Rattus norvegicus: one gene and its partners. The protein of the gene in region 1 interacts with the protein of each later gene in a pairwise test. Links are inferred from orthologs where the notes say so. Each region holds a gene or a part of one and is shown in the gene's direction. Other genes may lie near its edges. The genes, in order: Cchcr1, Trim27, Card9, C5h1orf94, Txlna, Washc3 and Zfyve19.

Region 1 (3,500 bases):
TACATGAGACCCTGTCTCAAACAAATTGAAAAACAAAAATGTAAAAAAAAAATCACTTGGCCCTGCGTTTCCGCCCCACCCCTTCCTTTGCCTTTATCTAGAATTCAAATATCTTCACACTCAAAACCTGTACCCCCCTTCCCCCATGTGCACGTTTGACGTTTAACGCATCTATCTGCTTGTGTGTAGATCTCTGGAGAGATGGTGTTCTTTGCCGATCTCACTAGCCCTTAGGTCGTCCGAGTGCAAATAGTGATGACCTCATGCGCTTAGTAGGGACTTGATGGGTGATGGTGGTGTGGTAGATGCATCGATCCTCCTGCCTCAGCTTCAGCCCCTTGCTTCCACCTTCCCAGCAGCTCACCCGTGCCCACCTGTCTTTGAAGGTCTCTGGAGCTGGGGGTCTCCGGTGCCCTGAGCCAGCAGGCTGAGCTGATCTCTCGGCAGCTCCAAGAGTTGAGGCTGCTGGAGGAGGAGGTCCGGACCCTTCGGGAGACCTCCCTGCAGCAGAAGATGAGGTTAGAGTCTCAGGCCGTGGAGCTGGATGCTCTCGCAGTGGCGGAGAAGGCCGGGCAAGCCGAGGCCGAGGGCCTGCGCACCGCCTTGGCCGGAGCGGAAATGGTTCGGAAGAACCTGGAAGAGGCGAAGCAGAAGGAGCTGGAGGAGATTCAGAGTCTGCACCAAGAGCAGGTGAACACGCAGCGGGGAGTGGCTTAAAAGCGTTTCAGGGCCCACTGTCCAGTAAATCGCAAGGAGCCTCGGGAATAGCAGACCCGTGGGGCTGGGGGAGAACCTGGGTTTCCCTCAGGCTGCGTCTTTGAGTTACCTGTAGGAAGGTTCTCTGAATCAGTCAGCTCCAGACAGACATTGTGAGCGAGATGGGCTGGCTGGTGGTATGTCAAAAAAAATGACAAATGGGGGCTGGAGAGATGGCTCAGTGGTTAAGAGCACCGACTGCTCTTCCAGACGTCCTGAGTTCAATTCCCAGTAACCACATGGTGGCTCACAACTATCTGTAATGGGATCCGATGCCCTCTTCTGGTGTGTCTGAAGACAGCTACAGTGTGCTTATATATAATCAATAAATAAATCTTTTTTTAAAAAAAAGACAAGGGGTTGGGGATTTGGCTCAGTGGTAGAGCGCTTGCCTAGGAGGCGCAAGACCCTGGGTTCGGTCCCCAGCTCCGAAAAAAAGAAAAGGGGGAAAAAAAAAAAAAGACAAAAAGCCACTGACAGGTTCTAAGTAACTGAGGCTGGAACTCAGCAGTAGAGTGTCCGCCTGCTCTGCACGAGGCTACCGGTTCAGCCTCCGAGTCACCAGAAAAGAAGGCTTTTGTTTTTTTAATTTTTGTTGTTGTCGAGACAGGGTCTCGCTATGTAGCTGTGGCCAGCCTTGACTCTTGCTTCTGCCTCCCAAGTGCTGCACTGCCACACCGAGCTTCAGAGAGAAACAGGGAAATAACACAATCAGATTTATATTTTATGTCCAGAAAGACCTGGGCTTCAAGAAAGATTTGGCACTGGTGATGTTGACAGGGCTGGCTGGGCCGGCCCTGCAGGGGGAAGCAGGAGCCCCATCTGCCCCTGGCCTGGTTTGGGGTCTAGTGAGGAAGACCCTCCCTTCCTAGAGCACCCCCATCATTACACTGAAGTAGGGTCCGACCATTGGCTGCTAGAGCTTAGAAAGCTGCCAGCAGGCCAAGAGCAGATGAGAGGTCTTCCTGAGGGCGGGACAGCACCTGCACAAGGGTGCAGGGAGAGCCACAGGAGAGCTTGGGGAAGTGTGTTGTACGTGCTGTAGGCTTTGTGGGTGTGGCAAGCCTGCTTCTTTGTGGGTCGAGGGTTGTTAAGGTAGCACCTTGATCTGTAGGCCTGGCTGGCTGTGAACTTGAGACAGTACTCCCCACTCAGCCTCCCAAGTACTGGAAGGTCTCAGGGTTCCTATTGCTCTGATAAAGAGCTGACGAAAAGCATCCTCAGGAAGGAAGGGAAAAGCTTCTGGCTCACCTCACCCTGCTCACAGCCGGCTGAGGGAAGCTGAGGCCACGGAGGGACACTGCTCCCTGGCTTGTTCCTCTTTGGCTTGGTCAGCAGGCTTTCCTGCATAACTCAGGACCACCTATCTAGGGGAGGCACCACCTCCCCGTGGGCGGGGTCCTTACCAATCAATCACCATCAAGAATGTCCCATTGGCTTGCTTATAGGCTGATCTGATGGGTGCACTACCTCAACTGAGTTTCCCCTTCTCCAATAACTGCAGCCCATGTCAGGTTGGCCAAAGAGGAGCTAGCACTCGGGGTTGAAGACATTTTGCTCCCGCCATGCACTGAGGGGTGTGTGTACATTCAGGTGTGGGTCTGTAGGTGAGGGTGTGAGTGTGACTGGCACGTGTGTGAGGCCTCCAGACAAGGTCTTTTATCATGGAGGCCAGACCTGGAGCTTCAGGGATCCACCCATGTCTCCTCCTATCCCACAGAGTGGGGCGATTACAGGTGTGTGCTGGCCTGCCTGGCTTTGCAAAAGTTTTGGGGCTCCTAACTCAGGTCTTCATACTTGTGAGGCAAACACTTACTGACGAGTCATCTCCATAGTCGGCAAGTCTCAGGCCTGAGGTGGGGCCATTTACTCTAGCTGTTAGCAATGAACACAGAGAGACCGGGAAGTGAACCGGCACCAGTTGACGATTGTTTGAAACATAACTGTGGAGAACCAGAGGCCAAGATCTCCCCCATTTGCTTACAGTAGCATATCAGTCAGATGGCTCTCTGGGAGACCAGGCCCCATAGTGTGGTAGGTGGCCCTCCATCTCCTAAAGATTTATTTTCGCTTGTGAGTGTGTGTTGTGTCGGTGAGTGTATACCACATGTATGAGGGCCTCAGAGGTCAGAAGAGGACATTGGGTCCTCTGAACTGCCTGTCGTGGGTGCTGGGAACTGAACTTGGGTCTGAGCTGCTGAGCCCCTGTCCAGCCCCCCAGGATGGCCTTTTCTGAATGCATTCCTCCCTCCCTCCGCCTCCTCCTCTTCCTCCTCCTCCTCCTCTTCCTCCTCCTCCTCCTCCACAGCTGTCCTCCCTGACACAGGCTCACCAGAAGGCTCTCGACAGTCTGACCAGCAAGGCTGAGGACTTGGAGAAGTCTCTGAACAGCCTGGAAATGAAACAGGCAGGGGAAGCCAAGCAGCTGACTATGGCCCAGAAGGAGGCAGAACTGCTTAGGAATCAGCTGAGGTCAGTGGACTGTGCAGGGGTGTGAACAAGGGCCCCAGCAGGTGACGTGGTGCTGGGTATCATCTCCAGGCTGTTCCACTGAGGACTGTCCCATTTCTGCTTCAACCTTAGTAAGACCCAAGAAGAGCTGGAGGCTCAGGTGACCTTGGTGGAGAATCTGAGGAAGTATGTAGGGGAACAAGTCCCTCCTGAGGTTCCTAGCCAGGCACGGGAGCTGGAACAGAAGGAGCTGCTAGACACCTTGAAGGTGGGAGGAAAGACACCAGGGGATC
Region 2 (4,055 bases), on another chromosome or scaffold:
ACACTTCATTTAAACTAATGGATAAAAATCTTTATGGCTCAAGCTGTGTTTTAAAAAGTTTAACTCACGGATGGGGAAAATTCCTGAAAGCAACAGTGTATGGGGGCTCAAGGAAGACACTGAAACAGACTGCTGGGAGTAAGAACTTTATTAGCGCCATAGGCAGATAGGCGGTGGACAATCAGAATTTCTGGCCGCGCCACAGGCGCCAGGGGGAGGTGGGGGCTGGGGAGTGTTCGAGAATGAAGCCCACGTGGCAGAATCAGGGTCGTTTCTTCTAGGGTCTCATAGGAACCCGCGGCCAGGCTCCTTCCTCAGCAGGTGGTAGGGAAGAAGTGTGTCATCAAGTAGCTCTTTGATATGTCTGGTCTGGCTACTTCACTTGAGGAAGTGAGAAACTGGGCACCAGAGGAGCCTGTTAAGAAGTTAGGGACTCACAAGCGGGCTCTCGGTGAGGCAGCTCCCTAGTAGCCGGAAGGCTAGAGAGAAGGGGAAGGACTTCAGTAGGTATCAGGGTCTGGTGAGCACTCTGGTCTGGATTCTATCAATCCCCCATTTCACGCGAGAAGAAAATGAGGCTCGGAACGATAAACAAACTTACTTTAGGGTGGAAGTAGAAGTGGGCTTCTCCATTTCTGCCACTGAGAAAAGTTGCTGATAATAAAACCTTTTTCTGGCGATTATTATCGCCTGGAGTTGGGTGTGTTTCAGAGTGCTTCACACACTGGGAGGGGCTTAGCTGGTCTCTCAGCCCAGTTTTCCGGCACTTATGCAAAGCCACCTTGCATTTAAAGGAGCCAAGGCCTAGGCACTAAGAAGACACCCGGCAAAGGACTACGGATCCACCAAAGCTTAGAGTATCCCGACCCCACTGCCAGGGACACCCTGCTCCCACTGCAAAGGGCAACCACCACCGACTCCCGGGCTGGGTACCGGGGCTCCAGGACTGCGCCGAGGAAACCCGCCTTCCCGCCCCGGAGGAGAGCGGCGCGGGAAGCCAGGCCCCGCCCCCGGCCCACCTCTTCCGCTCGGCCCTTAGGAGTCTGCGCGGCCCTGGGATCCCTTCCGACGCGGCCACGTTGCCCGGTGAGCCATCCTGCAGCGCCGGGTTCCCGACACCCCTCTGCTCGGCTCTCAGCCGGGCCCTGGGGCCCAGGCCTTCCCGCGCTGTCCGTGAGGTGCAGCTGTGCGGGGACGGGTCTGGCCGCCCCAGAGCTCCGCACGCGTCTAGGATCCCCGCGCCGGAGGCCCCACCCCGCTCCGGATCTGAGAAGCCGAGAGAGAGCGCCGGGCTCTGCCAGAGCTCGGCTCCGGGCTCATGCCCTGCGGCCCAGCCGGCTCGCGCCATGGCCTCAGGGAGCGTGGCCGAGTCCCTGCAGCAGGAGACCACCTGCCCCGTGTGTCTTCAATACTTTGTGGAACCCATGATGCTCGACTGCGGCCACAACATCTGTTGCGCGTGCCTGGCCCGCTGCTGGGGTGCCGCGGAGACTAACGTGTCGTGCCCGCAGTGCCGGGAGACCTTCCCGCAGCGCCACATGCGGCCCAACCGGCACCTGGCCAACGTGACCCAGCTGGTGAAGCAACTGCGCACCGAGCGGCCGTCGGGGCCGGACGGCGAGATGGGCGTGTGCGAGAAGCACCGCGAGCCTCTGAAGCTGTACTGCGAGCAGGACCAGATGCCCATCTGCGTGGTGTGCGACCGCTCGCGCGAGCACCGTGGCCACAGCGTGCTGCCGCTGGAGGAGGCTGTGGAAGGCTTCAAGGTAGGGCCGGGCCGGCGGACAAAGAGGAGAGCCGGGGGCTTCCTGGTTTGCCGCCGAGAAAATGGCGAGCCGGACGTGGGGCCCACCGCCGTCATTTCCTCCCTGTCGGCTGCGGAGCCTCCGCGCTCAGACTCGGAAGGAGAACCTGTAGCTGGCGAGGCCAGAGGCGTCCCCACCCCCACCCCTTCTCCGAGCGCCCCCTGTTAACTGCCTCAACGCGTGCCGCGGCTGGGACGGCGCGAGGAGACCCTCCCTTGACAAAGGAGATGCACATGGAGCCATGTCCACTTCCATAGGCCTTGAACACCTCGAACTTGCTCTGGCCCAGGATATCAAACCAGACAGCCCCTGTTGGCTGGCCGAATTCACATCGACCGATGCCTATCACTTAATCTAAGCCCCCAGCGCTTCCCTGTAACCTGTTTTAGAACCTAATGGAAATGAACAGAGCTCTTTACTGCTTGAGTAAATCATTTAGCCACTCTCAGACTCGGGAGATAACTTAATGAAGAGGAAGTGAACTCACAGGACCTGAAGAGGCCTTTGTTGAATAAACACTGGCACAGCTACACAGTAATTCGAAAATGTTACATATAAAGTAACTCTCAAGTGATAATGAGTCTGTTTTGAGGACTGCAGGGATATGTACCAACAGTTAGATTTGTTTAAATGTGAGTTCATCCAAATGTCAGTCACGTTTACAAAGCTGTATCATTTCACTCACTGGAAATAAAGTTGTAATTTAGTAATGCTTACCAGTTCTGTGCATGAGGAAAATAAATCATTTTTTTCTGTATTCGTCTGAGGAATAGCTTACCTTTTGAGCCTCTTTACCCAGATGTCTCATAACCTGTGCAGAATGCTTCTAGGAACTGGTAGGTGGCTTGAGTTTAACAAATTTCTAAAACAGCTGTGCTGGACCCTGTGCTTTAGGCTCTTCCCAGGAATGGCACTGTGGTCTGAGGACAGAGTCCAGCCCGGCCTTGGCATCTGTAGTTTGGGTTCCTGTGTCATAAGCAGAGTAGCTATTTTGATGCTGAGATCTGCAAAATTCTGAATTGGCTGACTGTTTACTTTCTTCAGGAGCAAATCCAGAATCGGCTGGACCACCTAAGAAGAGTGAAAGACTTGAAGAAGAGACGGAGGGCACAGGGGGAGCAGGCACGAGCTGAGCTCCTGGTAAGGGTCCAGGTCTCCAGCCTGCAGAGAGGCATTGCATCAGGATAGCCTTGGCAAGGGTGTAATGAAAACTTCTAAGCAGAGCATTTCCCCTTGGTGTCTGTCATTCCTATCATTTAGCTCCATCCTGTCTCTGAGTGAGTGCGATCTTGACACCTCTTGCTTGAAAACAGGATGAAGAAACTTCTCAGTGATCTTGTGTAGACTAAACTTAAACATACAATGTATCATATCAGCTTTGGGAGGATTTTCCAGAGAGAAATACTTGTGCCAGTGTGTCAGTCACACTGCTTTGGATATACTCAGTAAATTGATCTTTAGCCTTAATTTTGTCTAAGGTTATATTGTATACTTTATACCTTTGAAAGACTTATCCAGGTTAAAAGAGGTATAAGGGGCCCTTGGAACAGTTGAATTCAAGTCAGATTTTAGCAAACTTTCTGAAAGGGGCCAGTAATAAGTATTTTTAGCTTTGTTAATTTACACAAGCTAAATCACAACACCTCAGTCATTGCATCTCAAAAACAGCCATGTCTAATACATAAATGAGTGGGTTTGGCTGGATTCAAGTAAAATCTTTCTTGACTGCTCTAGAGCCATTTTGCTGACCATTTGTTTATTCAGAAATAGTTTCACTATGCAATCCAGGATGGTCTTGAACTCTCCATATTCCTGCCTTAGTCTCCCCAAGTGCTGGAATTATAGTATGCACTGCCACACTTGGTTTATAATCTTAGAACTCTAGGTTTTTTAGGATGTCTTAGGTAGCCCCAGTTGATCTTAAGTTCATTATATAGTTAAGAGTGATCCTGAAGTTCCAGTCTTGCCTTGTCTGCCTTCCAAGTGCTAGGAATGCAGGCATGGAGGAATTAGAAATGTAGGAAAGATAGACAAACCAATAGAAACATTGTATGGAGAGGAACCCATAAGCACCCCCTAAAAAATCAGGGCATGGATTACTTACTGAGACCAAGTAAACACATCCAGGAAACTTGTGCTTGCTCGATCATACCAGGTCATGTCCACAGAGTGCACACCTAACCCTGCCATTTCACTGTGATTGTTTCATGACTCCGCCTGCCAGGCAAGATGTTCATGGGCTCCAGTCAT
Region 3 (4,074 bases), on another chromosome or scaffold:
GAGCGCTTGCCTAGGAAGCGCAAGGCCCTGGCTTCGGTCCCCAGCTCCGGGAAAAAAAAAAAAAACAAAAAAAAAAAATTATTTGTTTTATGTGTATGAGTACACTGTTGCTCTCTTCAGACACACCAGAAGAGGGAATCGGGTCCCTTTACAGACAGTTGTGAGCCACCAGGTAGTTGCTGGGAATTGAACTCGGGGCCTCTGGAAGAGCAGTCAGCACTCTTAACCACTGAGCCATCTCTCCGGCCCTGTCTCCTTTTTTCTTAGACACTATTATCGTGACACCAGTCCTAAGCCCTTGGCTCTCCAGGAGTTAGTTCTTGCATGTGTTCATCCATCCTCTGTGGGAAATTTCATAGTAAAATGGCGTGAGCAGCCTAATCCTGCTGCTTGTACCGACTGTCAGCAGGTGGTTGTCCTGCAGCCCAGCTCATTGCCCTCTGTTATGTGTCCAGGGACCAGTGTTTTCCATGGCTCCCTCTAACCTCTTCTCCACTCTGGAGTACTGGGGTTTTTTCAGCTATCCGATTGATTTCTACCTCAGATTTATGGGCAAGAGCTTCCCATTTTATTAACACTTTTAAGAAAACACCATGATCTGTATTTTTACTGTTTGGGGAACAAACTCCACTATGGAGGCCTTGTGATCTCCTTCCTGGAGTAACTGCAAAGCCGTGGACCCCTCTTTGCCATCCTGGAAACCCAGCAAGGCACAGTCCCTAGCAATGCCACTCCCAACCCCACCCAGGCCAAAGAGGACTCCTGACTGCTGCTTTTAGAAGTATGGTCCAAGGTCACTGTCCCCACAGGAGCAACAGAAGGGCAGTAAGCCACGAAAGACGGGGCTGGTTGGGCTCTGCTCTTTGTAGGTCTCCCAGCCTTCCCACTCAGCTTTTGCTTCAACTCCTCTCGAAGACTAGGCAGCAGCACCTGTCTAACAGCTACACTGGCTGGTCAGGGCTAGCAGGTCCCCACGCCCATCTCAGGCTGGGGCACGCAGTTCACGGAGGACTCTAGCTGCCTACAGCCCGTGGATTGTCCTGCTGCACCTACCCTGCACCACCGTCCTCAGACGGCAGGTGAGGATATGGGCGGCCATGAGGGAAGAGCGGCTTTCAGAAGCCTGGATCCAGGAGGGCCTTAGACCGCCCATCCACAACGCCAGATTTTCAGATTCTGTGGCTCCAGGTCCGAGTTCAGATGAGCAGGCGGGGAGGGCTCCTCTGCTCCCAGAGTACTTCTACTTCCCTCTCTCCTGTTCCTGGATGGACCAATCAGAAGGTAGACCAGCAGGGACTGCCCCCCCCCCCCTCCCAGGGAGGACTGGCTGGCTTGTGGCAGCAACCAGAACACATCAGGAAGTGCACAGCCTCCCTCATGGCTCCACCCTTCTCCAGTTAGGGAGCATCTCCACACTCCCAGAGGCTCGCTCCTGGAGTGCCCATAGCCCAGGCAGCATCCAGCTGGCAGGTGGCTCCCACAGGACCCTGAGGTAAGTTCACCTTCCTGGAGGTGGGTGGAAGCCTGTGGTGAGTCTGCTGGGGACCCTGGAGCAGCAGTACCTACAGGCAGGTGGCCTCCTCCACCCTCACCCTTCATTTGATTAACCCTGGCCATGGCAGTATAGTCCTCCAGTGCTGGGCCATGTGGCTGTGGGGCTGGAATGGCAGGCAGTGGGCCCAAGGTTTAGAGAAATGTCTGTCCACTGAAGCCACTCACAAAGGCTTCACTTGTCCACATGCAGCTCCACACGAGTAAGCCCCTATGTTCAACTGGCCTGACTGATCCCCATCATGTGGCCAGAGGCCAGGCCTCATCCGGCAGCAGAAAAGCACAGGACTTGCCTAGCACCTGAAAAACTGGAGGGAAGCCGCAGCAGACGTCCAGTGTACCCCAGCCTAGCAGGGAGGCAGGCATGCTCCCACGGCCAACCCTTACTTGCCCTCCCAGAATAGCACCATGCCACAGGCTGTTGCATCACTGGCTACAACGGAAGGCCTGAAGGACTCGGAGCCTGTCAGGGAATGAGGAAGTCACACATAGGCCTGGCCCCCTGGCAGAGTGAGAAAGCCTCCCACCAACCTGACCCTCTTAGTCCCAATCTGGAGACTGGCCAGCCAGGGTCCACGCCACCCAGGGAGGTACTATGTAGGATGGCCAGTAGGGGCAAAAGCTCCCACCTTGAGGGTGTGCCAGGGCACTCCAGGGTAGAGGGCAGAAGCTAGAGCAGGCCTGTTGTACAAGGGCTATTCTCTTAGACCCCCAACCCATCCCTTCCCTGCATATCCACATGACTCAACGAAAGCTTGGGGTGACAGCAGCTTGGGGAAGGTGGGTTTAACAGGTGGCCTGAGGAGGGGCTTGCCTATGGACCTCTGCTTCCCCTCAGAAACTCTCCATGGAGCTGAGGAGATGAAACTGAGCCGTATATTTCCCTAGACTGAGTCCCTTCTGACCCTGCCCAAAGCCCTGCCCTGGCACTCCCAGGCCTGGGTCCTGTCAGGCTGACTGCGCCAGGCCCAGCAGGGAACAGAAGGTGGGCACTTCCTCAGCTGCTCTCCCCAACTGTACCACAGCCTACAGAGGACATGTCAGACTATGAAAATGACGACGAGTGCTGGAGTGCCCTGGAGAGCTTCCGGGTGAAGCTAATCTCTGTCATTGACCCCTCACGAATCACACCCTATCTGCGCCAGTGCAAAGTCCTGAACCCCGATGATGAGGAGCAGGTGCTCAGTGACCCCAACCTGGTCATCCGCAAGCGGAAAGTGGGTGAGGGCTGCTCCCATACCAGCAGGGCCCAGTCCCTCATCATCCCCACAAGACAGCCAGCCAGAGTCTGCTACCTCAGCCCCACCCAGCTCCATCTCCATGTAGGATATGAGTGAGGTCCTCCTCCCCTCTTGTCATGTCTACCTGCTGCTGCCCAGTGGGGGAAGGGAGTCCCCACCATTGTTCAGATCCTCAGAGCCACCAGAGTAAAGACAGCACCCTGTCCCACCTAGACTGAGACCTGCAGGGTGCCTTATGCAATGGCCCAGAAGGGAAGGGGGTGTCTAGAGCTTAGGTTATCTACCCAGAGTAACCATCCTAGCCAGCCCCAAGGGCCTCTACCTACCCAGCCCTGGGCCCTGACTCTGTCTCTTCTGCCTGAAGGTGTGCTCCTGGACATCCTGCAGCGGACAGGCCACAAGGGCTACGTGGCCTTTCTTGAGAGTCTGGAACTCTACTACCCTCAGTTATACAGGAAAGTCACTGGCAAGGAGCCAGCGCGTGTCTTCTCCATGATCATCGGTGAGAGGCACAGGTGTGGGTTGGTGCTGTGGGTGGACTCGGTGCTACTTGGCCCCGGCTCCTGTGATTGCACTGGAGTGACTAAGTCTGACACGAGCCTTCTGATGTAGATCAGGGTAGTGGTCCCTGGTGCCTCTCCGGTTCTCGGGAGCAGGGCCTTCCTGGATTGCTGAGGCCCTGCTGGTCTCCAGAAGGGGAGCCCTTCTCTGCTTCTCCTACTCACAGCCTAGAAATTCCACTGAAGTGGTGACCGCTCTGCAGTGCCATTTCTGCAGGGCCCAGTTGTCAGCCAAGGGCAGAGTCGTACAGTTTCCAGAGGGGACAGAGGTGTCCTCTCGTGGTGGAATAGCCACAGCCCTATCAATTCTCATCCATCTCACAAAGGTCACTGTAAGAGTAACAGAGGGCAGGCATGATGACACACACCTTTAACCTTTAACTCCAGAGGCAGCGACAAGCAGATCTCAGAGTGAGAGGCCAGCCTGGACTACATACATACAACATAAACACGTAAAACAGGGGCTGGGGGGAGACAGAAGGCCGACTGCAGTCCTGGCATGTGAGTGTTTGAGTCAGAATCTCAGTTCGCCTGTGAGGGACAGCAAGGCAGACTGGGCCTAGTGAGCACACTCAGTCTTGAGGGACCCATCCTACCCTCTGGGAGGCCAGGAGTGCTCCCTCTGTCCCTCAAGCTGCTGGTCTTCAAGCACACACTTGTAGACAAGGACGAGCACAGGGTCTGCAGGTGACAGCCACAGCTCCACCTGACACTGCATGGTC
Region 4 (4,104 bases), on another chromosome or scaffold:
AGTAACCACTGTTTTCGGGGACCAGGGAATGCTCGTCAAGTTCACGCTTTTTCAAAGGTGAAGCTTCTATGTGGAGGGGCTTAGGGGCGACGATCGCAGTCCGCACCGATATCAAAGGGTGCGACTTTTTCTCCCACCTCCGCCTGCCTCCCTGTCTCAGTGTTGGGGTTAGCTTGGGAGCCAAGGGCATTAGATCATGTCGAGTCCGAGCTTTGAATTCTAGCCTTGCTTCTTGAACTCAGGACACAACCATTTGCAACTTAGAGATTCAGCTTCCTTCCATCGTGTCCGCCGAATAAAAAGTAGTACAAACTAATGAGGGTGAACAGGATCAGGTTTAAAGTTAGCTCTTGGCATTCGGTGCTCCTGTGGGATGGCAGTTAGGATTAAAGCCAGTGGGGAAAGGGGACAGGTCCCCCACCTCTAGGCAACCTCTGAAGTTTGTATGTAGTGGTGGGATGGGAACAGTGTTTCACTTTGACTTACTTCTAAGAGGAAGCTCCCTGGGGTCTTTCCAGTCCCACCCCGCCCCCATTCCACCTGCGAGTCTCAGGGACGAACGCCCGGCCCGTGCCCCACCCCCGCGCACCCAGCCGTTGCGCTTGAACCCACTGAAAGAATCCCAGCTCTCGACGGCAGGGGTGTGGGAGCTACTGACACGCAAATCCGCTGACCCCGCCCGGGCCTGCCCTGCCCAATCGGCGGCCTTTTAAGGGTTGGGATCCTCTGCGGTGCGGGTCGCAGCTCTGCGCGGGGGACGCGACAAGTGTCCGCTGAGGACCTGGGCCAGGCCGACTACCGGCACAATACCGCATTGGACATTTCTTTTTTAGGGAGGCAGAGCAGCTGCAGCAGAGAGAGAAGGGGAAGCAGAAGGGGGCGACCGGGAGAGCTAAAGCCAGGACCTGCAGTAGGCGGGTGGGGGGCCCTCTGTGTACGCGGGATCCTTTGGGAAGGTGGGAGGAGACAGTCCCATGGCCGGCACCCACCCAGTCTAGTACAGTGCTCGGCCTTTACCCTGCCCTTCTGGTGACTTGGCAGGAGAGAATGGGCTGAGTCCCAGACCCTGAAAAGTCTCACAGGGGTGTCGTAACGGGGGAGTGCCGGGTCCTGTGGGGAGAGCCAGTCCTCCCCTCTAGTCGTTCCCAGATGTCATTCTGCCCGCCCAGGCGCTTGGTTCCTGAGTTCCGGGGCATTCCACGGTTACTAAGTTACTGGTTTTTGTTGACTTTTAAATATTTTCTTCTACGGGAGAGGGGGAGGGGGGCAAAAGCCAGGAAAGAGCAAATAAAAAGAAGTCAACATAAGCCCCCCCTCCCCAAAAGAAAGTTGCCCTCTACTCCTCATCCTCACCCAAACCGAAGGCCTCTGAAACCCATCCCTTGGCTGGAGCAACAGCCAGCCAGAACTGACTACTTCCCAGGTCCAGTCTTCAGCTCCCTTTCTGGTGAATGAGGGCTGGTGGAGGACAGTCCCTTTGTCTCCCAGCCCTGGGCGGACAAAGGGGCTTCCGAAAAGAGAGAAAGAGGATGGCCAGTGGAAATGGGCTCCCTCCATCCTCAGCCCTGGTGGCCAAGCGTCCCTCCGCCCTGGGGCCATTCCCCAGATATGTCTGGATCCACCAGGACACACCCCAGGATAGCCTAGACAAGATTTGCCATGACATCTGGAAGAGAGTTCAGGGCTTGCCTGAGTCCCTGCAGCCCAGGACCTCTCTGGAGAAGCTCTCTGCCCCGGTGACAGCCGCTGTCAGCTTCCAAGACGAGTGAGTAATCCCCTATTTGGTTGATTATCAAAGGCGGGGGGAATGAAGTCTGACTTTAGGTCGAAATGCTCTGGGCCAGTGTTAAGTCCTACACACATCTCTCCCCCAAGCCTCAACCCTCAACCCCGTTTCTGTAATCTGAAAAATCTTTCGGTTGGAGGAGCTGGCCAAGGTCCTGAAGTCCCAGATGCAAGGAAAGAAGCCATTTCTGGCAGCTTCTTTTCCAGTGACTAAGGAGAAGTTTCTTATTTTAAAGACATAGGTGGCTATGATGTAGATCTGGGGTCCCTGAAGATCTAAGGGTTAGGTGACTCATGACTGTCCCCAGAAGCAACTAGATGATCTTTTCCCCTATCCCAAGAAAAGTCCAGGCATTGGCACAGATGATTCTGGTGGTTGGAAACCACATCTGGAATCCCCTAATACAGAGAGCAGCTGTCCCATTCAGCATCCACAGAGCTACTGCAAGAGCGCACATCAAAATATTTACTGGGAAGGCATTGACATATTCAGAGGACATAATAGAAAATTAAAGTGTGGGAAGATGGCTGTAAATAGCCGGTTTCCCGGATGGGAAATCCCCTGTCGGGGAAGCACAGAGCTAAGTGTTTCAGTGCTAGGGAAAAGTTGAGGGGATAGCGTTGGGGCTGGCTATTGGAAAGAAGAGGAAGGAGCAGAGAGGAAGACAGGGATCTCATTAGGAAAAGGACTGCATCAGCTGTGGTGATTAATGCCACTGCAGAGTACTCTTTCAGGGTTCTGCATCTCCAAAGTGGGCTGCTCGCATTAATTAATCCTCCCGGCATCCCTATGAAACAGGTATTAGTGTCCCCATTTTACAGATGGATTAAGTGTTAATAATTAAGTGCTAATTAAAGCCTAAGTGATAATTAAATGTTGTCTGCCCCCAACACATGCTCCAACTCAGTTCATAGATGCTCCGGAGTGTGTGTGTAGGGGGCGGGGTGCATCCCGGCATTCATCAGCCGCCTCTGGTTTCAGGGCTCTCTAAGCATAGCTGAGGTGAAAAGCAATGTAGTGCTGCAGTCCCTATGCAAGCTCCTTTGCTTGCTGGAGATGAAGGCGGGAGGCATGCTGGCTGCTTCTACCTCCCCTGCCCTGTGCTCAGCAGGACCAGGCTCCGATGCAAACGGCCTTGCTCCATCCAGAATCCTGTGGCGAGTCCGTTCAGTGGCTCTGAGCTCCTTTGCCTCACCCATTGCCATCTGCTCCAGGACAAGCACCTTGGCACGGGGAACCTTGGGGCTGCACTCAGCTCTCTCAGTGGCCAAGTAGCTGATTGTCCACTTTCGGGATCAAAGGTCAGCAGCAATTTCCAGTAGATAGCCCCTTCCCTGCCAGGTCACACTGAATTCGTGGAGACAGACTCTACTTCCAGTCTGCAGTTGGCCGGAAATTGAACCGGCCTACCTTTGGCTCATTACTTCACTCCATTTGGCCTTGATTTCCTCATCTGCAAATTAAGGACGACGTGCCCTGCCTTGTCCACCTCAGAGTCGATAACGAGGGTCCAATGTGATGGGAAACTAAGAAAATGAAAGATGCATTATACAAACAAGGCCGCCTTAATATGTAGCTCGTCGAGTTTGGGGGAGGGGAGGCTTCACAGCTCCATGATCCAAGGAGCCTTCAGACAGCCATCCTGGAGTCAAGTGGGCTCCTACACACACACTCTACACACATACACACACCACACACACACTACCCACACACACTACACACACATACACACTACACACACATACACACTACACACACATACACACTACACACACATACACACTACACACACACTACACACACATACACACACTACACACACACCACACACACACACTTCAGCCTGAGCTCTTCAGGTGTTGGTCCGCTTTACTCACTGGAGTTCTGAGTACAGTTGCGATTGAAGGAGTTCTGAGGCTGAGAGGAGACCTGGGAATCTGCTGACTTAGATGAATAAGCCTCATCCTAACTGTATAGCTGTCCGCCCAGCAGAACACAATGAGCGAGGCAGCGAGCGCCGGAGTTGGATAACCAGGTTCGGCAGTGTGTGTGCCTCTGTAGAACCTGTGACTGCGAGGCTGATCTGAGCTTTGGTTTCCTCACTGCCATGGGGGAGTGACGGTAGGGGTCGCTGGAGGTGACAAATCAGGACTATTCAATGGTCCTGCTGGTAATTAGGATTGATAAACTCGTTCTAAGGACAGCAGTTATAATTTCTGTAAACCCTGCAGTCTTTGCATGAGGCAGTGAAGGTCCAAGTGTGTGTAGATGTAAATTTCCATAATTATCAAACTGTGCTGTTCTGGTTTAAATTGCTC
Region 5 (3,970 bases), on another chromosome or scaffold:
TGTAGGAGCACGTGGTACTTTGCAGAAAGTGGGGCAGGGCTGAGTGGGAGTTTACCAATCCGCCTAAAGCCAAACCTCCTTGCTACAATCCCCTCCTGAGGATCCAAGCTGGTGATGTCAGAAGGCGGGGCATACTTGGTCTCAAAGCCTGTGATGGCGGAGAATGGTTAAGATGGGTTTTAGTTGGATCTGAGGTAGAAGCCAGCATAGTCAAAGACTAACAGCCAGGGCTACACGGAGAAACCCTGACTGGGCTGGGTGGAATGGAATGGGGCACTGGGGAGAAGATTAAGAAAAGGATGGGTGGTGTCAGGCTTCCAGGTTTGAATCCGCAATAAGCACACAGTATTGATGGATGGAGCCATAGATTATTTACCCTTTACCTGGGCATGGTGGCCCGTGCCATTAGTCCCAGTCTTGGAGAGACAAAGACAGGCAGAACTCTTGAATTCAAGGCCAATTTGATACACCTAGAGAATTCGGGGCCTGCCAAAGCCACACATGAGACATTGTCTCTAACAAACAATAGTACATACTTTTTTCTTTTAATTAGCCTTTTCCGTACTGCCCTATATTTCCCAGATCTCTGAGTATAATGTTCTTTCTCTGAGTAATTATGAGGACCAAGCTATTACATACGAGGGAAGAACACATTGTTTGGATTATTATAAACCTTCTACTGGAATGGAGAGGGGAGGGATACTAGGCACATAACAAATTAGTGGTTTGGGCGTGAGATAAATATCTCCTAATTCACAGTTTACCCTTCTTTCTCTCTTCCACTCGCAAGTCCTCAGAGATCCTAAAATAGTCATACATGTTCATAAGGGAGTGTATGAAAAAAAATCCAGACTGCCAAAGTTTAAGGGCCAATCATAGTTTCTGTACTAGGAAGGAGGCTGACACGAATCTCTAGACCGAATGACATAATTTCGGACCCTCAGGGTATTTGGCTCCTAAGCTTTTCGGTTGCATCTCGGGAGTTGTGACCTGCCGCAAGGCATGAAGGGACTCGTAGTTTTTCCCACTCCCGCCTCCAAAGCCGCCTTGGCCTCTTTTCCCAGCAAGCTCCGCGCCAGCGTTTGCTGTTGATTGGCTGCCGCAGGAGAGGGTGGTCCAGCTGGCAGCAGTTACCCAGGTTTCCGGTGCTCGGCCAGAGTCGGGGACGCGGTCGGACGTCCGCGGTGAAGTATGTCTTTGGGCTGTACACGGGACGAGCTCTTCAGAGGGTCCATGACCCAGGACGCGTTAGCCGCGGAGGAACAACTAATTCTGTGGACGGGGTGGGGAGAGTTGTGTGCTGCCGTGCTGCGCATGCGTACTTCGGGTCTAGAGGGCGCGTGGGGTGTGGGTGTCTTCTGTGTACGCGCGCGCGCGCGCGGGAATCCCACGTGGGACCTGGTGGGGCGGGGGGCCGGTCGGGACTGGAGCATCCCGCCACGTCAGTCTGCGGCTCTGAGCCAATCCCGCGCTCCCGCTGCCGAGAGGGAGCCGTGTGGTGCTGAGAAGTGGCATTCAGGAGAAGGGAGGCCTCTTCCTTCCTTCACTCTGTGCTGGTGCAGCTTCTCGGAAACCTTGCCCGGGACCGTGAAGTCTCAGGCGAAGGCCGACCAGTTTGTTTGAAGCTTAGAGCTTCAGATTTGGAGATTTCTCATCTAGGTTGTGAAGAATTTTGAAGTCTAGAAAATAGCAGCGGTGTCCGTAAAGGATCTACCCCTTTTCTGGCCTTGCAGATCACAATGAAGAACCAAGACAAAAAGAATGGGCCTGCCAAACACTCCAACCCGAAGAACAGCCCTGGGCAACGGGAAGCAGGACCGGAGGGAGCTCATGGACGGCCCAGACAGACAGCTCCTGGTGCGGAAGCTGAAGGTTCCACAAGCCAGGCTCCTGGGAAGACCGAGGGTGTGTGCCAGCTCTGCTTTTCCAGTGGGCAGAGGGAGGAGTTTCTGGTACTTGCATCTATCTGAGGCCAGTATTTACCCAGGAAGGAGGAACTATAGAATGAAACAATGCCCATTCTGTGATCCTCATGTTTCCTAGGGAGGTGATGAAGCTTTCCACTCTTAGCCCTGGAACGGAACCTTGGGGGCATGCTCTGACTGGTTTAAACCAAATGACAATCAAATGAGGCGCCCCATAAGCAAAGTCATATTCCCACTTGCCAGTGCCCGGTGATTAATTGTCCTTCATAAGACAGAGCGTCTGCTACACGTCAGTCGTCCCTCTTGTAGGGGTGCTTTACACAGTTGTCTTTGATGGTCATAACAAGTATGTTTGGGTGTTAGAAATAATTGTTTCGTCTTATAAAAACGTTTTATACGACTTAGGGTTTAAAAAAATTAAATTGAGGCCAGGCATAGTGGCCCTCACCTTTGTTCTCAGAACCCAGAAGTCAGAGGCAGGTAGATCTGAGTTTGAGGTCATCCTCATCCTCATAGTGAGTTCCCAGACAGCCAAGGCCCTGTAGAGAGAGCCTGTCTCAACTGAATAAATAAATGGAACGTTTAACCCACACAAGTGGTGTTTGTCTGGGCTTAAAGAAGAAGAAAACCCAAGGGAGCGGTGTAACCACCTAACGTTCACTGTCTTCATCTTGTAGGCGCTCGAGCTAAAGCATCTCAGTCTGGGGCCCTCTGTGATGTCTCTGAGGAGCTGAGCCGACAGTTGGAAGACATTCTGAGTACATACTGTGTGGACAACAATCAGGGAGGCCCAGGTGAGGAGGGAGCTCAGGGGGAGCCCACTGAGCCTGAAGACACAGAGAAGTCCCGAACCTATGCAGCCAGGAATGGGGAGCCTGAACCGGGCATTCCAGTCGTCAATGGCGAGAAAGAGACCTCTAAGGGGGAGCCTGGCACAGAAGAGATCCGAGCAAGTGACGAGGTTGGAGACCGAGACCTTCGAAGGCCACAGGAAAAGAAGAAAGCCAAGGGTCTAGGTGAGGGGGAGCTCCTGCTGACGGGAGGGAGTGAACACTTGCCATCTCATGGGCTAGCCTGCTCTGTCTGGACACAAGAGAATCTGCTTTTCAAGACAGTACATCCCCCCAGTTTAGTCAAAGATGGGGTCATCCCATTGAGCTGTTCAGATCACTCACTTGTGCAAGGCCTCCTGGCCTTGGGAGCCAAGTGGAGGCAGGAATCCAACTAGCTTTCTCACTGGGAATATGGAAAACCGGAGGGAGGCCTAAGTGCTCGACAACACCACTTTCAACCTGCTGTTTGACTTTGGGCATGTTTATTCTCCACTCCTAGAGAGGGTCTTAGTTTCCCTGTTTGTACAGCAATAGAATTGGGCTACACCAAGGTTGAAATATCAACATGGACCAGGTAAGCCACAGACCTCTTCAGAATCAAGAAAGGGCCTTCTTGATCTGAAAACCTGACTCCTACCTGGTTAGTCCCCCAGTCGCATCTGACCAGCTGAATAATTGGTAACCAAAATAATAGAAAGTAAGCAGAGGCCTCCATTGGTTGGATTTGCCATCTCCGTGTTACCTTTTGGGCCTCCCAGGGCTGACAGCTCAGAACCTGGTCTGTGCTGAGTACAGTGGAACCCAAGGGAGACAGCTGTAAGGCTTCCCGGCTGAGGTAAAGCAAGGCAGTGGCAACCTGGCACCATGGCGTACACCTTTAACCTCAGTACCTGAGAAGCAGGAGCAAGTGCATCTCCTGAGTACCAGACCAGCCAGCTGCATAATGAAACCTTATCACAAACAAAGGACAGGAGTGATGGGACAATGTGAAAATACGAACTTAGAACCTAATGCAAACCAAATATGGTAGTGTATGCCTCTAATGGGGAACTAGGAGGAACAGAAGCAGGAAGATGCTGAGTTCAAAGCCAGCTTGGGCTACATAGCAATACCCTCTCTTTGTGTGTGTGTGTGTGTGTGTGTGTGTGTGCGCGTGTGTGCGCGTGCGCGTGTGTGCGTGTGTGCGCGTGTGTGCGCGTGCGTGCGCGTGCG
Region 6 (4,219 bases), on another chromosome or scaffold:
CTAGATACTGCAGGCTGACAAAAAGCCTCGTCCTAGGAACGGATTCCCTCTTTTAGGGCTATCGGTCAGTGAGGTTCCATAGAACCTGACAGTAGGCGCTCACTGCTGCAGACAGCACAACGAAGAATAAGTCCAGGGAGTGGTATTTAAAATGCAAGTATCGGGGCTGGGGATTTAGCTCAGTGGTAGAGCGCTTACCTAGGAAGCGCAAGGCCCTGGGTTCGTTCCCCAGATCCGAAAAAAAAAAAAAAGAACCAAAAATAAAATAAAATAAAATAAAATGCAAGTATCCACGTTTACCCAGAAGAGATCCTGATTTGTCTTGTCTGAGGTTAATCTCTAGAATCGGCATTTTAAGAGGCACTCCCAAAAAGAAGCTCGTGAATCATTTAGAAAAACATGACTCTTATTCTGACATAAAAGGCCCTTCATCAGCTTTTTCTGTCTACTTCTGCTTTGTTTGTCATTATTCTCCACCACTGGGCATTTTTGCTTACACCACCAAACCGCTTTCCCTTTGCCTTAAACACCATATGTCCTCATGCTTCTGTGCCTTTGTTTGTACAAAGGTTCATTCCAGATCGTCACCTTAACTCCTCTTTGTGTTAAGTAGACACTAAGGTCAGCTTCCTCTTCTTGGACGTCTTAGAAGCTCAGAGCCACAGCACTTTGCGTGTGGTGTGCATGTACTCATGGGCCCACAAGTGTTTGTACACGCTTACTTACAAAGGTGCAACTTTCACAGGATTTTGTTTGCGTGGCCATCTAAATTTTGCACGTCCTCCCTGTATTACTCTTTGAATAGTATAGCAGAGATGATGTGGGCATCTCTTCGGTCCTTGTTTGGTACAATAAAAAGGTTTACTTTCGCTTAGGTGACCTGTCCTAAGTCACTTTGCTGGTAAAATGTGTTCCAAACTCTGAACCAAAGTCTTTAAACTGCAGGTGTAAAGATCTTTTACATGATGTAAGTGGCCGTCGTCACTGTCACTGATGTATGTCTCAGCTGTTGCTTGAAATTATGTTATGTCTAAAAAAAAAGAAAAGCGTTAAAAACAGATCTCCAGGCATGAGGTTCTCCAGGGCTGAAGACTCATTCTGATCGCAGAGTATCTGGCACTTAGTAGGACCACATAAAAAGAGAAGTGCTCTTCAGTGAATTATGGATCTTTTTTGTAACAATTCGAAACAAGTAAACACCACCACCCCCCGTCTCTCTGTGTGTCTCTGTGCATGTTTCTTTGTCTCTATTTCGCTGTCTGTCTCTTTCCCTCCCTTTCTACAGATCTTTTCAGATTTTACAGCTAAACAGCAAATGTGAACCCTGCTTATCAGCAGCATTTCCCAGCCCAACTTTACAATCCGAATCATGAACTACCAATCCCAGAATGCAGAGCGAGAGCGAGGGGGCGGGGCGGCCTCTCCGAAGCCACCGATTGATTGGTGAACACACGCGCTCTCTTCCGGAAAGGCCCCGAAGGCAGGAACTTGGGAAAGGAGTCTGGTCTCTCTACCAGGCTGGGAGGAGCTTGTGCCTGAGCCCCGGGGTCCCCATCCGCTGAGGAGATGGATGAGGATGGGCTTCCTCTCATGGGGTCAGGCATAGACCTGACCAAGGTTTGTAAAAGATATACTTGAGCTTCCGACGAACAGGGAAGGAGGCTTGGCTAAGGGGCCCCGGTTCCCAGGGAGACGCCACCTCTCCAGGCCCAATCCGGGCCCCTATTTTCCTAGCCTGGGGAAGGGGGAGCCCTGCAATCCACTTTGAAAGGGGTCTCTCCTGGGCTAAGAAAAGAGGTTGGGTGCCACGCAGCCTTTGCTCCCCACATCACGTGCCTCTCCGCCTAAGGTTGACAGTCTGGAGATAGAACCACCTCTAACACTTCACCTCTTATTCGACCCTCAAGAAGCTGCTCGTGTGTGTGTGTGTGTGTGTGTGTGTGTGTGTGTGTGTGTGTGTGTGTGTGTGTGTTGTCACATTCTCAAACTTCATGCAGCCCCTGTCACTTTGACACACACCAGATTCAGGAACACAAATCAGTGACTCTTCTCAGCCCTTCGTGAAATTCATGTCCCAGGACAAAGACCATCCCCTCTATGAAATCCAGATATCCAAAGTGTTGCACAGGGTATGTTTCTCCTGTAAGAATCGTGTTTGTTTTTACATGACACAGGTGCCAGCTATTCAACAGAAAAGAACCGTGGCTTTTCTAAACCAGTTTGTGGTGCACACTGTGCAGTTTCTCAACCGGTTTTCCGCAGTTTGTGAAGAGGTAGGTCCTGGGCTACTAGTTCCTGGAGCGGCCGAGAAGTCGCCTTCCACCCTTCATGTTGACAAATGAAGTCAAACAAGAGTTACACCCTTCATGTGTTGTTCACTTTGCCACGAAACTCAAACGTCTTAAGACCTTAGCACCTCTGACTCTGTCCCCATCAGCCCTGTGCCCTACCTCAGCCGAATTAATATTCTAGAAGCTTCTGTGAGACAGCTCAGCTATGTTTAATTATGAGAACAAAAGGAAATCCAGAATTTTACAGTTGAATTTTTTAAAGTGTTTTTTTTTCTCAGCTTTCTACTCAAGAGATTACATTTTAAATATATGCTTGAGTTTATATTGAATTGCTTTGCATCCTTTGAGCCAAAAACAATTCACAGGGGTAGCCTAGAATACATGTTTCAAAAAAATACTTTGTTGCAAATGACTGGATGACTTATAAAGTAAGAATTAGACGCCAGATCCAGGAACCTCTCCTGATCTTGCAAAAAGTTTTGTTTGTTTGTTTTAAGGAGGATGAAAATAGGGAATGTATATTGAAACTGAATTTTAAAAAAGGAAATAAAAAAGTAGAAACTTATAGACACTTCACAGCTGGATCGATTTAATATTCTATTTTCCTATATTGTCCTATGTGAGGCTTATCTTCGACAAAACAGAGTTTATGTTAGATGTGTGGCTGTTAATCAGAATTGCCTGGAGACCGGAAACCTCTCGTTTGGGTCTAATTTGAGCTGTTTATATGATGGGCTGTGATTAAGGCCTTGAGCACGATAGGCACACGCACTCTGCCACCGAGCGACACCCCCAGCCCCCAGCCGTAGTTTTTATTTCTTTATCAGAATTCCTTTAGCTTTTCCCCTGAGAGAAATGAAAGTAAGATGTAATTACTGATGCAGTGAGGAGCTCGGTTCTGTGTGCTGTATAGTTGAGCAGCCCCAGAGACTGGGCGCTCCTTTCTTTTTGGTCTATTAAAAAAAATTGGGGCTGGGGATTTAGCTCAGTGGTAGAGCGCTTACCTAGGAAGCGCAAGGCCCTGGGTTCGGTCCCCAGCTCCGAAAAGAACCAAAAAAAAAAAAAAAAAATTAAGATTTACTTATTTTACTTTATACGTGTGAGTGTTTTTATCACACATATGTCGGATGCCTATGGAGGTCAGAGGAAGGCTTAAGACTTCTTAGAACTGTAGTTATGGACAGTTATGAGCCACTAGTGCTCTGGACTGCTAAACATCTGTTCAGTCCATTTTCCTCTCACACCGTTGCTTCTCTAGGATAAGGAACCTGCGGAGTGAAGGGATTTTCACCTTCCAGTTCCCATCTGACCCTTTGTGCTCTAGGTTAGAGTGTATGCAGGCTGTAGCTTCTAGCAGAAGAAACCAGATATTCATTGCCTATCATTGCGCAGTTGTCCCTATTGAGTTAAAAAAAAGCTAGCAGAAGGCAGTTTGCTACAATGTGCTCTGCGCGAGGATAACCCCTCGTCTTCGTAGTCCCCCTCAGTTTCCGCTGTCTGGGAGTGGGTGCTGCTTATCGGCAGCCAGGATCAAGGATGGCGAGTGTCACCTCACAGAGCTTTCCCCACCTTCTTCCACACTGTCAGTGTTCCCTTCCCCACAGTTGGTCCGTATCCCCTAATGTTTCCCTGAACCCCAGAGAGAAATTTGTTGGATAAAGAGCTCAGCTCATACGGAGTTAGCCTACTGCCCTCTGCTCTTTTTCATATGCGAAGTCTTTATGACGTAACGTACGCCGTTTTGACTCCTGTGCCCACCACGGAATATATAAATTTTGTGTGTGCTTTGCTGTGTATGTACACCCTCATTCTTAGTATACTTCGCTCTTAGCTGCAGTCACTGTAGCATACAGTGAGTCCAGGGAACGTGTTCTCCTGGGATTCTGTGCCTTTGAGCAACACCTTCCCGGCCCCCTCACCTCTCCCAT
Region 7 (2,743 bases), on another chromosome or scaffold:
CCTTTCCCCACTGAGCTTCCCTCCTCTGCACAGGTACACCAGGCACCAGATACCAGGACCCAGGCCCAGCAGACACAGGATCTGCTCACACAGTTGACAGCTGAGGTGGCCATTGATGAAAACTGGCAACCAAGAGTCTCAGGTAACTTGTCCCCTTGGCGTCCCAAGTCATGTCCTGCCTCTTCTGCCCACCCTTTTGGGAGGTGAATGTAAGTTAGAGAACGGTCAACACTAAAGAGCTTCTGTTTATTGAGCGCTTGCTCCAGAAGGAGCCAGCGTGGGCCTCTTGTACTGGCTCAGGAATCACGTGGGGAATTTCTCTTCCACCACCTACATGAGTTACTTCCCCAACCCTTTCTCATCTGTAAACTCAAGCTATGTGTGCTACAAGCCTATGTCCTGGGAGAAGCTGTGAAGAATAAATGAAACAGTACAGTAAGTGCTTGGGACTGTGCCTGGCTCATACTAGTACTCAGCAGAGTACTCTGCAGGGCCACAGTTCAGCTGTTCACTACCCCCATGACGTGCTATGCAGCGCTCTGACATAGAAGACCTTGGACAGTGGTACTGAGGTCTGCGGAGCAGTAGCTCCAACTAGGGGTGATTTTTAGCTTTAGGCACCTTTAGATTTGGTTAAAGACATTTTCTTTTTTTTTTTTTTTTTTTTTTTTTTTTTTCGGAGCTGGGGACCGAACCCGGGGCCTTGCGCTTCCTAGGCAAGCGCTCTACCACTGAGCTAAATCCCCAGCCCCATTTTCATTATCACAGTTCACAGGCTACCACTCCTGGCTTCTGGTAGGTGGAAGGTGGGGATGCTACTGAGTACCCTATCATGCAGTGGCCAGCTCCCCACCCCTGAAAAGACATATGCCCTTAAGTGTATCAGAAGAACTAAGATTGATAAATACTGCAGAGCGTCTCTGTGGATGACCTCACTCATCTGACGTGTGCATTACCATCAAGGGTCTCCTGCCCATTATGTAAGATTGCTATTTCCGTTGACTTATCCCTGTTGGTCCCAGAAAATGCTAATTCCAGCCCTGAAAGACAGGGTCTAGCTAAACCTTAGCCCCTCACAGCTGATCCTCAAGTCATAGCGTAGCCACTCAGTATGTGGAGGTGTACTTTTGCTTCTGTCTTCTCTACTCCTGTTCTTCAGCCCTTTAAACTGGCAACACGAGATGACAGAAAAACGATGACATTACAGGAGGCACCTTCCTGTTGTTTAGTGGTGTCAGGCTCCTTGGGGACAAGATTGCTCTTCGCTTTCGGGATACCTAATTTTGTCTTCTTGCTTTTTTCTCTGCACATTACTACATGATAAATGGCAACCAACAACAACCAAAAACCCACCAACAGCCTCTCAGGGCTCCAGCATCTATGTACTCTTTGCAAAGGCTCCAGAGTTCCAAATGTCCCATAATCGCAGAAACATTCTGCAGCTGACAAGATCATACCCCTGCCAGAGCACAAGGCAAATCATAGTCAGCTGCTGTGGAAAATTCGAAGCAGCCCCATACTCCCCATCTGTGATTAAAACAAAAATTATAATATTTTTGTGTTCTTCAAAGAAACCAAAATTCCAAAATTGTCACTCCCAAGGTTGATGCCTTTGAAAGATATAACTAAACTTACCAGTTTCCTCAGGCATGATGGTTTACTCTGCAGTCATAGAATGTGAGGTAAAGGCCATCAAGGGGAGGGGGAGGGGCACCAACCCAACCACAAAACCTTTGATCTACAGTTTGTCATGCCTGCCAAATCATCATCAGAGCGTTTGGAGAGACTTCACCCAGCAACTGATGGGAGCAGATGCAGACACTGTAGACAAAGGGGGAGCTCAGAGAGCCCTGCAAAGGAAGGGGAGGAAGGATCTGAGGAACTAGAGAAGTTACGGGCACCCCAAGAGAATAAGACTCACAGAAAGGACGATTGGGACTCATGTGGGCCTGCAGAATCAGGGATCCTGTAGGGGTCTGACTTAGGTCCTATGCATGTATGCTCTGGCTGAATAGGTTGGTGTTCTGTGGGATTCCTAACAGTGGGATCAGGGGCTATCTCTGGCTCTTTTGCCTGCTCATGAGACTACTTCTTGCCTCCTTCCATGATGTGGATGGCTAATGTCCCTAGAAGGGCTTCTCTTTTCTTTTTTTTTTTTTTTAATTTATTTATTTATTATGTATACATCATACAGCTTTCTGCCTGCGTGTATTCCTGCAGGCCAGAAGAGGGCACCAGACCTGATTATAAGTGGTTGTGAGCCACCATGTGGTTGCTGGGAATTGAACTCAGGACCTCTGGAAGAGCAGACAGCGCTCTTAACCTCTGAGCCATCTCTCCAGCCCGGCTTCTCTTTTCTAAGGGAGGTTGAAGGGACTGGCATGGGGCTGAAAGAATGGGAAGTTGAGGCAGAGAGGCTTGGCAGGAGGGGGGAAGAGGGAAACTGAAGTCAGGATGTAATATGAGAGAAGAATTTTAAAAAAGAAAGTGTTCCAGTCAGTATAGACTCAACAGCAAACCCCTGTCTGTAAAATAAATGAATAGATGTGGAGGTGGCACACACCTTTAATTCCGGCACGTGGGACCCACACTTGGGACCAGCACTTGGGAAGCAGAGGCGGGCAGATCTCAGTTCAAGGCCAACCTGGTTGGCAAAGTGAGTTACAAGAAGGCCAGGACTACACAGAGAAACCCTGCCTTGAAAAAAACAAAAATAAATGGGTAAATAAAAGTCTAGTACTGA

The links.
Region 2: the proteins of Cchcr1 (region 1) and Trim27 interact in binary tests that used the Homo sapiens proteins (3 or more experiments, as listed by UniProt). The link is inferred for Rattus norvegicus from reciprocal best matches to the Homo sapiens genes CCHCR1 and TRIM27.
Region 3: the proteins of Cchcr1 (region 1) and Card9 interact in binary tests that used the Homo sapiens proteins (3 or more experiments, as listed by UniProt). The link is inferred for Rattus norvegicus from reciprocal best matches to the Homo sapiens genes CCHCR1 and CARD9.
Region 4: the proteins of Cchcr1 (region 1) and C5h1orf94 interact in binary tests that used the Homo sapiens proteins (3 or more experiments, as listed by UniProt). The link is inferred for Rattus norvegicus from reciprocal best matches to the Homo sapiens genes CCHCR1 and C1orf94.
Region 5: the proteins of Cchcr1 (region 1) and Txlna interact in binary tests that used the Homo sapiens proteins (3 or more experiments, as listed by UniProt). The link is inferred for Rattus norvegicus from reciprocal best matches to the Homo sapiens genes CCHCR1 and TXLNA.
Region 6: the proteins of Cchcr1 (region 1) and Washc3 interact in binary tests that used the Homo sapiens proteins (3 or more experiments, as listed by UniProt). The link is inferred for Rattus norvegicus from reciprocal best matches to the Homo sapiens genes CCHCR1 and WASHC3.
Region 7: the proteins of Cchcr1 (region 1) and Zfyve19 interact in binary tests that used the Homo sapiens proteins (3 or more experiments, as listed by UniProt). The link is inferred for Rattus norvegicus from reciprocal best matches to the Homo sapiens genes CCHCR1 and ZFYVE19.

The regions. Positions count from the first base shown.
Region 1 is NC_086038.1:3,216,266-3,219,765, reverse strand, and holds part of Cchcr1 (coiled-coil alpha-helical rod protein 1), read left to right. Parts: intron 1-386; coding exon 387-690; intron 691-3,064; coding exon 3,065-3,228; intron 3,229-3,339; coding exon 3,340-3,475; intron 3,476-3,500. UniProt on the Homo sapiens protein: May be a regulator of keratinocyte proliferation or differentiation.
Region 2 is NC_086035.1:48,243,349-48,247,403, reverse strand, and holds the start of Trim27 (zinc finger protein RFP), read left to right. Parts: upstream 1-1,346; coding exon 1,347-1,766; intron 1,767-2,298; exon of another isoform or gene 2,299-2,437; intron 2,438-2,503; exon of another isoform or gene 2,504-2,641; intron 2,642-2,849; coding exon 2,850-2,945; intron 2,946-4,055. Other genes in the region: uncharacterized protein LOC134482717, read right to left, coding at 379-415, 1,020-1,348. UniProt on the Homo sapiens protein: E3 ubiquitin-protein ligase that mediates ubiquitination of various substrates and thereby plays a role in diffent processes including proliferation, innate immunity, apoptosis, immune response or autophagy.
Region 3 is NC_086021.1:29,575,603-29,579,676, reverse strand, and holds the start of Card9 (caspase recruitment domain-containing protein 9), read left to right. Parts: upstream 1-1,274; 5' UTR 1,275-1,492; intron 1,493-2,576; 5' UTR 2,577-2,588; coding exon 2,589-2,772; intron 2,773-3,156; coding exon 3,157-3,294; intron 3,295-4,074. UniProt on the Homo sapiens protein: Adapter protein that plays a key role in innate immune response against fungi by forming signaling complexes downstream of C-type lectin receptors.
Region 4 is NC_086023.1:145,607,495-145,611,598, reverse strand, and holds the start of C5h1orf94 (uncharacterized protein C1orf94 homolog), read left to right. Parts: upstream 1-1,304; 5' UTR 1,305-1,451; coding exon 1,452-1,765; intron 1,766-4,104.
Region 5 is NC_086023.1:147,266,474-147,270,443, reverse strand, and holds the start of Txlna (alpha-taxilin), read left to right. Parts: upstream 1-1,170; 5' UTR 1,171-1,283; intron 1,284-1,733; 5' UTR 1,734-1,739; coding exon 1,740-1,905; intron 1,906-2,602; coding exon 2,603-2,941; intron 2,942-3,970. UniProt on the Homo sapiens protein: May be involved in intracellular vesicle traffic and potentially in calcium-dependent exocytosis in neuroendocrine cells.
Region 6 is NC_086025.1:24,507,125-24,511,343, forward strand, and holds the start of Washc3 (WASH complex subunit 3), read left to right. Parts: upstream 1-1,419; 5' UTR 1,420-1,566; coding exon 1,567-1,617; intron 1,618-2,174; coding exon 2,175-2,273; intron 2,274-4,219. UniProt on the Homo sapiens protein: Acts as a component of the WASH core complex that functions as a nucleation-promoting factor (NPF) at the surface of endosomes, where it recruits and activates the Arp2/3 complex to induce actin polymerization, playing a key role in the fission of tubules that serve as transport intermediates during endosome sorting.
Region 7 is NC_086021.1:126,652,822-126,655,564, forward strand, and holds part of Zfyve19 (abscission/NoCut checkpoint regulator), read left to right. Parts: intron 1-33; coding exon 34-142; intron 143-2,743. UniProt on the Homo sapiens protein: Key regulator of abscission step in cytokinesis: part of the cytokinesis checkpoint, a process required to delay abscission to prevent both premature resolution of intercellular chromosome bridges and accumulation of DNA damage.